Linked DNA regions of Drosophila melanogaster. The protein of the gene in region 2 interacts with the protein of the main gene of each other region in a pairwise test. Each region holds a gene or a part of one and is shown on either strand. Other genes may lie near its edges.

Region 1 (4,892 bases), on a different chromosome or scaffold from region 2:
TTACTCTCTTTCCGCTCACTCCCGCTGAGAGCGTAAGAAATCTAAAAATATAATTTGATTGCTTGTGTGAGTAAAAACAAGAGACGAGAACGCGTATAAGTGTGCGTGTTGTGCTAGAAGACGATTTTCGGGCCGAAATCAATTCTGATCGAAGAAACGAATTTACATGGTACATATTAGGGTAGTTTTTGCCAATTTCCTAGCAATATGATAAAATAAAAAAATTTTTAAAAATTCGCGCCCTGACTATTATAATTTTAAAGCTTTTTAAATTTGTTTGTTAAAATCGCCGCTCGAATTAGCTACCGTTTACACATTTATATTTATGTTTAATTCTAATTTGTCTCTCATCTGACAATTTTTTAAAAGAGAAATTATTTTTTTAAAACACTTTTAATGTTAATGTTACATCATATTAAGTCAAATGATTTAATAAATATACTAAATAATTAAATATGATAACTGTTTATTGCAAAAGTAATATCAAAGTAATATACTAGAATAATTCTAATGCTTTGTTCATATCTTGAGGCACGAAGTGCGGACACAAGCACTCAACAATCATTGCCTTATTAATTTTTCACACGCCGCAAGATGAATACTCTAATGACAAATATTCTTATATAAAGTCATTTTTGAAATTTATTTTTGTGATAATATGTACATAGATTTGGCTATTTCTGATATATTTTCAAATAATAATAACGTTAAGGCAATGCAAAACAAGAATTTTTCGCATGGTGCCAATTGATCAAAAATAATATAGATTTAAAGTCTAAAAACTTCTGAGGTGAAGGGCATATTTTGTCAAATTTACAATGCATGAGCATACGTGTGCACACATACAGATGTCTCCTACCACTTTGTGCGTTGAAAAGAGCTGTTCGCTGTAGCGCTCTTCGCTCTCTCGCTCTCAAACAAAAATTCGAGAGAGCCTGGAGCCACCTCTAGAGCCACGGCCAAAAAATCGTGTGCCAAAAAATCGTATGGCGTTACGCATCTTGTTATTCTAGGGTCTTTGGGCAAACCAATGTATGGCCGTTACGCATCTTGTTATTCTAGTGTCTTTGGTAATACCGTATTCCTTTCAAAAGATATACATCAATGCTTATCTTCTGTCTTGTGAACATATATGATTTGAGTTCATATAAGATTAACGAAAATTTCGAAATTAAGATAACTATTGCTGTATCATCAGTGGGGTGTTTAAATGTAGTAAATATCGAGAATTTTAAAAGATACAATTTCAAAAATGACAAATGTGTTAATTCTAAATAATTGTATATACCATAAAAACAAAAAATAAAAATTTGCTGTTGAAGATTTTTAATTGTAATAATAATCTTGTGCATTAGACATTTGCAAAGAATAATACAAAAAATACACGAATGCATTGTTTTTCCACTTATCAATTAATAATAATAAATAAGTGTATTCATGTGAATTAATTTCATTTCTTGTGTTAGCATCAGATTTTCATTTCTTCGTGCACTCTCTCCTAGCTTTCTTTTTAACCGTGACATATCGGGATCTGCCAAGAAAACTATTTGATGACAGGATCTAGAGGAAGTAAACAATTCGATGCACTTGTCAAGGTAGAATAAGGATGGCTGTATTCAGAACTCTTGTCAGTTATTATCCCCCTAAGTTCCGATTTTGGGAATTCCTAATGAGTAGCACAACAAAATTGGCTGCACTCAGCCACAATTATATTTTGGTAAATGTTTCAAAGTACTCCGTATTATAACTCGTACCTATGTATATGCATACATATACTAGTATTTTCAATGACATGCGCACAGAGTCGAGCTTTTCATGCAAACGAGCTCTTATAAAAAAATGTATTCGACGTGTTTTCATTGGCATAAGTAGCTCGATATTAACTTAAACGACATATTGTTTTAGGAATAAAGTAGTTTTAAAGTAAAATACAGTTTTTGCCGTTATTTAAATTCAAAGGAAAGACTCAAATTTGTAATAACAACACGCAATCTAATAAGACAGTGTAAAAACATAGAGTACTGTAACAATTATACTGAATGTTGGATTAGTTTGGTTTGCTTATTTCTTAATTGGGATCTCCGGCACCTGCAACCTTTATGACAGCGAACTAAACAAATAATAATGTTTTGGACCAAGTTTTATGAGATTTACATAAGTCAAACATAAAACAATGTGTACTCCTTTAAAAAGAAAGCCATTAAATAACAATATTATATGCTCTACATCTTAAAGTGCGACATAGTTTATACTGTGGTGGTACTGTGGTATAAAAAATAAACAAATAAAAATAAGTTGGGTGTTGTTATTATATATTATTATACACCTTAGTTACAGAAAGTTACGTTCTTATCTGCATGAAATAAATATGTATGCCCGAAGATATTATATCTTACATAATCGATTTCTTTGTTATTTACTTGAATTAAGATTCGAATTGTCGTAAAAAAATTACACATACTTCTCACTATTACAGACATGGCAAGCATAGTACTTATAGCTTGCTTGGCTATATTGGGATTAATTATTACAATCGCTCTTTTTCTGGCTGGAGGATACTTGTGGTGGAGGCATAAAAGATCACAGTTACAGTTTATTGAACCAAATGAAGATGAGGAATCTAGTAGTTATAGTCTTCGGTAAGTATTTGCATTTCCTGTTTAGTATATGACTTTATATATTTCATGGGGACAGACATTCGACTCTTAACAAGCGATAGAGGATCTATTTATGTCTATGACTGTATATTATCAACGATTTTGAGTATGCAGTATTTCTAAATTGTCCTATTCATTTGACTTTTTTATAAATACGTTAGTTGAGTACCCTCGGAATATTTAGAATATTTATATATCATGCTCTGCAATATATAATAATATATAATTATAATTTAGCTACAAAAAACCAACATTTTTGAGTTGTATGCAGTTTAATGAAACATCATAATTTATAGCTTATTATCGGATGATTGATTGGCAAATACAAAATTTTAACGTTAAAATATTTTATTCTTCTGTAACGGGAACCAATCGATATAAATTGCTAATTATGCCCGTTACTTGTAGATTAAAAGGGTATAGTAGATTCGATGAAAAGTAAGTAACAGGTAGAAGGAAGCGTTTCCGACCATATAAAGTATATATATTCCGTCTGTCCGATCTCGATCCCAGGAACTATAAAAGCTGGAATGTTGAGATTATGCATGCAGTTTCCAGAGACAAATGTTGCCAAGCCCACACTACCGCCCGTCGTATTTTCATACGTTTATTAGTTTTGTAAATTTCTATTAAATTGCCAACTTCATGCTACGCCCACTCTAAAGCCCACAACCATCCCAAAACTGCCACGCCGACACTTTTAAAAAATGTATTAATGAATTTTCATATTTTTGCTAGTCTCGTAAATTTTTATTCACATTTTGAAAAATGTTTTAATTTTGTGGCGTGGCGACATCAGGAAACAATATTGAGCTGTGCCTATGTCTCTGGAATTTACATGCTTAGTCTCAACTGTCTATCTTTTTTAGTTTCTAAGGTGGTGGGTGTTATTTTATTTTTTCTTTTCATTCCAGTTTTTATCGGTACGCCAAAAAGAATGTCGAGAAGATGTTGAAATAAGACTTTGCGAGAGTTGTATGCAGTTAGCTTGAAAGTAGTGTACATACGGACGAGCGAGCAGATGGACGGACGTAAAGGGTTAGTTCGTCTCGGCTAGTGATCCTGATCAAAAATCGCTCAAAAATCACAACCAATCGAAACGCAAGCTATCGTAATTTTTGTCACACAAGTTGAGAGAATGTGCAAAAGGGAATAGTACATACATATACACAAAAAAAGAAAACGATTGATTCTTTGGTAGTCCGTAACAAGTGATAATCAAATACCAAAGACACTAGAATAACAAGATGCGTAACGGCCATACATTGGTTTGGCACTATGCAGCCACTTTTTTGGTGACTGCCAAAATTACTCTCTTTCCGCTCACTCCCGCTGAGAGCGTAAGAAATCTAAAAATATAATTTGCTTGCTTGTGTGAGTAAAAACAAGAGACGAGAACTCGTATAAGTGTGCGTGTTGTGCTAGAAGACGATTTTCGGGCCGAAATCAATTCTGATCGAAGAAACGAATTTACATGGTACATATTAGGGTAGTTTTTGCCAATTTCCTAGCAATATGATAAAAAAAAAATTTTTTTTTAAATTCGCGCCCTGACTATTATAATTTTAAAGCTCTTTAAATATGTTTGTTAAAATCGCCGCTCGAATTAGCTACCGTTTACACATTTATATTTATGTTTAATTCTAATTTGTCTCTCATCTGACAATTTTTTAAAAGCGAAATATTTTTTTAAAACACTTTTAATGTTAATGTTACATCATATTAAGTCAAATGATTTAATAAATATACTAAATAATTAAATATGATAACTGTTTATTGCAAAAGTAATATCAAAGACACTAGAATAATTCTAATGCTTTGTTAATATCTTGAGGCACGAAGTGCGGACACAAGCCCTCAACAATCATTGGCTTATTAATTTTTCACACGCCGCAAGATGAATACTCTAATGAAAAATATTCTTATATAAAGTCATTTTTGAAATTTATTTTTGTGATAATATGTACATAGATTTGGCTATTTCTAATCTATTTTCAAATAATAATAACGTTAAGGCAATGCAAAACAAGAATTTTTCGCATGGTGCCAATTGATCAAAAATAATATAGATTTAACGTCTAAGAACTTCTGAGGTGAAGGGCATATTTTGTCAAATTTACAATGCATGAGCATACGTGTGCACACATACATTTGTCTGCTATCACTTTGTGCGTTGAAAAGAGCTGTTCGCTGTAGCGCTCTTCGCTCTCTCGCTCTCAAACAAAAATTCGAGAG
Region 2 (4,955 bases):
TGCAAAACGAGATTGTGTATACGCAGCGTGGGCCCGGCCAAGAAATGGCAGAGCTAGCTGCTTATCTTAGCACACAAATTGGCTGTAATTATGAATAATCAAATACTAGATAGCCACGTATATTAACCCATATTTTGTTGAGTTTTTCGCAGAAGAACAGAGGTCACTGTTCGTCTTGTTTGTAAATAAACAATTTGTCTGTTGATTTGTGGTTTGATTTGGTTACTTACCTTTGATTTCCACCTCCGTAAATGGTTTCTTTTTGACAGACTGTGAAATGAAAAAGCAAAAAAAAAAAACGAAACGAAAGTGAAAATCAAATAAATACCGACCAGTCAAAATAAACCGATCGATCCGAAATAATTTCGTGTTTACCTTGGTGGCCCGTTTGCCCAGCAATGCTGTACCCAGCATCTGTAAAACAAAACATAAAGCAAATAAAACATTGAGTATACTAAGTAAAAGTCAATGAGCTAAGGGAAAATATTAGCAGAAGTGTAAACGAAAGTGTAGCATACTCTTCAGCTGCGGGGAAAATCAAAAAGGTATTTGCGGATGGGCTAAATGGATATTTTTACATTTAGCCAAAGGTTTTTTTATTTTTGACATTCTTGTTTATTACGTTGTTCTTGGTTTATTTTAGCACCCACTTGCACTTGTTGTTTTTCAATCTATTTTCACTCGAGGAATTCCGAGCATCTCAAGTTAGCGAAAAAGAAGTGCATATGCATTTAGTGGGCTCTTTAAGACCAATTCGATAGCATCAACCCCTCCATTTAGACCAAATCTGAGGAATCTTGGCAGGGGGCTGGCCAGAGTGTTCGTGCCTACCATTTATTTATTTCCCAATTTATTTCTAAATTACGTACTGAATGGCAAGCATTTCAACTATTTTTGATTAATTGCAAAAATGAACCAGCAAATGCGGTGAAAGTGTTTACGCAAATATATCCGAATATTCCAGTATTTCCATTTTCACAAACAATGCTGATTTCAAATTCATTTAAATTGTGTGCAGATGGGAGAAGTTGATTACACTTCAATTAAAGCATGACCTAATATATATTAATTGGTGTTGAATATAAACATTTGGTTAGTTAATTTAGACAATCTAAAGGTTGCATGAATCACGCATTGTTTTCCTACGGAATAGGCTTTTATTTCTGTTTGTAATCCTACATAAAGTTCATAAGTTTAGTGTGGATGATGTTCACATGGCCCACATGGCAACCATGTAAAACCTTGTCCGAGGTTAGTTACCTTAGCCAACTGCTGCTTTATGGGCTTAAAGCGAGATAATAAATGCAGAGGTGGCATTGCTCACGTGCCAAGAACCATACAATGTAAACAAATTAATAAATTTGCGCAGAATCGGCGTTATAAAGCTCGTTTAATGGCATTTTTCGTTGACACTTGTTCAGGAATTTCCGAAAATTTGTTATGCTCCACAAAGCTGTGCCAACATCATAAATTTGCGGCTTGTTTGTATAAATCTACGATATATGAAATAAACTTTGTGTCGTCAATTAGTGAATTCGAATAAACAAGTATCAAACGTTGGACCTCAAACAAAAGCGAGCATAGTGGGCTCACATCATATTAAAATATACAAGTATGAAAGGTAGGAAAAAAGTTAATAATCGCTAGTGTTTATATTGGCCAAGTAGATACACATACGTCTATAAACAATCACGTTTTTAATGCCTTCAAAAGCACTGAAGCGCATTTTGTACGCCAAAAATCCAGAACGGGCACATTAAGAAACCATTATGATGCCCCTCCGCAAAAGTCGATTTTCCAGATATATACATCTATATCTATACTCATATACCTATATGCCTTTTATGGACGCTCGTCTGTACTTTTTAATGATGTGTTTTGGCTACAAAGTTATGGGCTGCGACAGCGACGCATTTTATGACTTAGGAAAAAATGAATGCACTCTTGTGGAGCAACTTTATGTGAGTCGCGCACATACGCTTTCAAATTAATTATCGTCTGTTCAGATCTGAATAAAATATAGCCGACGGTTCCACTCGATTTGGGCAAGTTTGTTGAGCTCCTATTGGAAATATACTTTCCGAGAAACACTTTGGCCAGCATACAGAAATTTAATATTCGACAATTCAAAATAATATTATAAGTATGCATTTTTTCCATCTTAAAATAAAAGGTTTCCAAGAAACCCGCTACCATATAGCTCTTAAGCAATTAAGTGTCGTACTTCGTATATCATTTTGTTTAACATTAATTGCTAGCAGACAATAAACCTGTTGCAATATTTATTCGCGCTCTGCGTAATGGGTTAATCTAAATATTTGACAACTAACAAATACGATCTGCCAATTTAAATGTACCTTGGCGACCCTGACAGGCGAATGTAGTACCAATATTGTTATTAAAATTATTTATAGCCGGTAGGCGAGAGAGGGATTTAATATTTGCTCATCATAAACGAAATAAAAACAAATTGTGTATACAACGAAGGCAGCTTTAGTGTCTGCCAGACGGAGAATGAAATTTGTTGCCACCATTGAAAAGCGATTAGGTAAATATTTATGCAAATGCAAGCAGGTTTTGGGCTAAAGACTCAAGATCATCTGGGAATTAGGGCTCATGAAGATCGGGTTATCCTATCGATAAGAAAATAAGCATAGTACTCACCTTTAGCTGTTGGCGCAGTCCGCTCATTGGGCTCATTCAAGAAGTGATAGCTTAGGTGGGGGAATGAATGCGGTGCCGGTGGCGTATGAGTAATATTTGGTTTCAAATCAACTTTGGCCCAGTTTCGGCTCTATTTGCCAGCACTTGAATGTGTATTAAATGTGTTAGCACTCTTGTCACTGGGCACAGTAAAATTATCCAGCAATAAAATGTGTTTACTTTGTATTTCGTATTTCCCCTCGTCGCCTGCGTATTTATATCTTAACTTTTAAGGGGATTATAATGATGTGTGTTCCTTTTTGTTTGCCTAATAATATAGCGCTTGAATTTATTTTAGCAGCGCGCGCGACTTTTTCAACGATCGTCTCGCCACGGAATCCCAAACAATATTGAGTATTCTACGGCGCTCCAACGATCAAAATGCTGCCAAAAAAAAGCGAAAGCCAAAAACAAGTTGGCGAGAGAAAAGTTGAGAGCGGTATTCCCGCTCTTGCCAGTTTTATTTTTTTTTTTTTGAACCAAAAATTTTGAAATCTCGCCTCGTTCTGGGATTGCCATTTGTTCATCTGCGTTTTTTTCTTTTTTTTTTTTTTTTTGATTTATTTTCATCGATTTCGATGCTCGTTCGCTCTTTGTCAACGGACGGCTACAGCCGGCATAAAATGTAGATCTTCTGGCGCGGCGATTTTTCAATGAGTGTATGCGTTTTTCTACAGAAAGAACTGTGCCATCAGAAGCGTATGAATAGAAAAAAAAAAACACTTGACCAAACACGTTTCCCCATATCTGTTTATCTGTTTATCAATGCGCCTAATGAGCAGGGCGAAGCGATCTCAAAAACATCCAATTCCGATGTCGCCTGCATTGGCTTAGATCAACACTTGAATGGCTATTACATAAACCGGGGCAAACGGCAAGTGTTATATTTAGTCGCGAGTCATTCAACCCGGCTGCACATGAGATGACAAGAAAGAAGTGCCAGTGCGTTCGTGTGCCCACATTGCGTATGAGCTATTTTTACCGATCGACAATCCGCCCCGTTGGCTGCACTCAAAAAGCGCTGGCAGACGGCGACGAAGCTGCGGAATCTTCGATAATTTTAATTAGGCAGCTGTCGCGGATCGCTCAGATTGTTCAGGTGAGCTGTCCAAAAGTGACACATTGCTCATACGCCGTGTGGGGTCAAAAAAAGCTGAAGCTTAAAGGTTAAAATAACACTCGAATTGAATTGAATTGCTGAGCACAGCTGCTCAAACATTCGTTAATCCTAAAGTTCACTCACAGTGCAAGCTAAATTTTAAAGATACATCGTCTCTATATATTGAAATATGTTTAATTTTAAGGAGATATAGTTGCTTTTAGAGAAGTTTTACTGTAGCCTCACGTTTCATTTGGTTTTTTATGTGTATTTAAAAATTGCACAACTGTTTCGAAGCTGTTACTGAACTCCTTATCGATCATTGGCATTATCAGTGGATGACTTTACCCCCCGATGACAGGGAACAAGAGCATCCAGGGATCGCCGTTTCCATCAAGATCGCTTCAGTTCGGATGGCTTCTAAGCAGAGACAACCGGAATTGGACTGTTTACGAGCTCATTATCAGCTCATAAACATGAAAGCGGCAGCCAGACACAGATATGTTATGAGTTATTTATTTATTGAAAGCATTTATTACTATTTCTCTAAAGGAAAATGGAAAAAGGAAAACGGGGTAATAAGCCTTTGGCCAAAACCGTGTGAACGGCTAGCAAGAGAATTATGGTGAGAAATCGGCGAGTTGCTCTTTATAGATTTCCAATGTAAATATTTACAATGTTTATTTTTAAACCATATATGTACAGATATAATATAGATGTTTGTAGTACATCGCGTATGCATGTTATGATCGTGCCAGATAAATATTATGAAACTTTGCTGGGAGCCCAGTGGCGGATCCCGTGATTTGCCCTGGACTTTAACGGGGTGTTAATGACTCTGGGAACGGCGTTTAGCAACTTAAGTTAGTTATCGGCGGAAGGCAAACAGAAATGTCGCACTTAACCGGGTCTTAATGACCCAGCCGTGATATCATCGATAGACAAACACACGACTGGCGGCCAAACGAAGCGTGAAAAGTGCCCAAGGTCGAGGGGCAAACGAAAAAGCGGAACTCTAACTGGGCAAAAAGCAGGTGCAGTGCCAAACGAAAGCCAAAACGGTTAGCGAAATCTACGTGCCTACAAATCCTGCGCACTTACAGCGAGCGGATTTTCACTGATATCCTCTGGGTCCGCAATCTTGGCCAATTCG

Evidence for each region. The genes of interacting proteins can lie anywhere in the genome.
Region 1: the proteins of Eip63F-1 (region 2) and Syt7 interact in a two-hybrid assay, tested with the Drosophila melanogaster proteins (one large-scale study listed by BioGRID).

The regions. Positions count from the first base shown.
Region 1 is NC_004353.4:302,763-307,654, reverse strand, and holds the start of Syt7 (synaptotagmin 7), read left to right. Parts: upstream 1-1,836; 5' UTR 1,837-1,959; exon of another isoform or gene 1,960-2,294; intron 2,295-2,476; 5' UTR 2,477-2,478; coding exon 2,479-2,639; intron 2,640-4,892.
Region 2 is NT_037436.4:3,930,583-3,935,537, forward strand, and holds the start of Eip63F-1 (Ecdysone-induced protein 63F 1), read right to left. Parts: upstream 3,056-4,955; 5' UTR 2,701-3,055; coding exon 2,665-2,700; intron 415-2,664; coding exon 376-414; intron 271-375; coding exon 231-270; intron 1-230.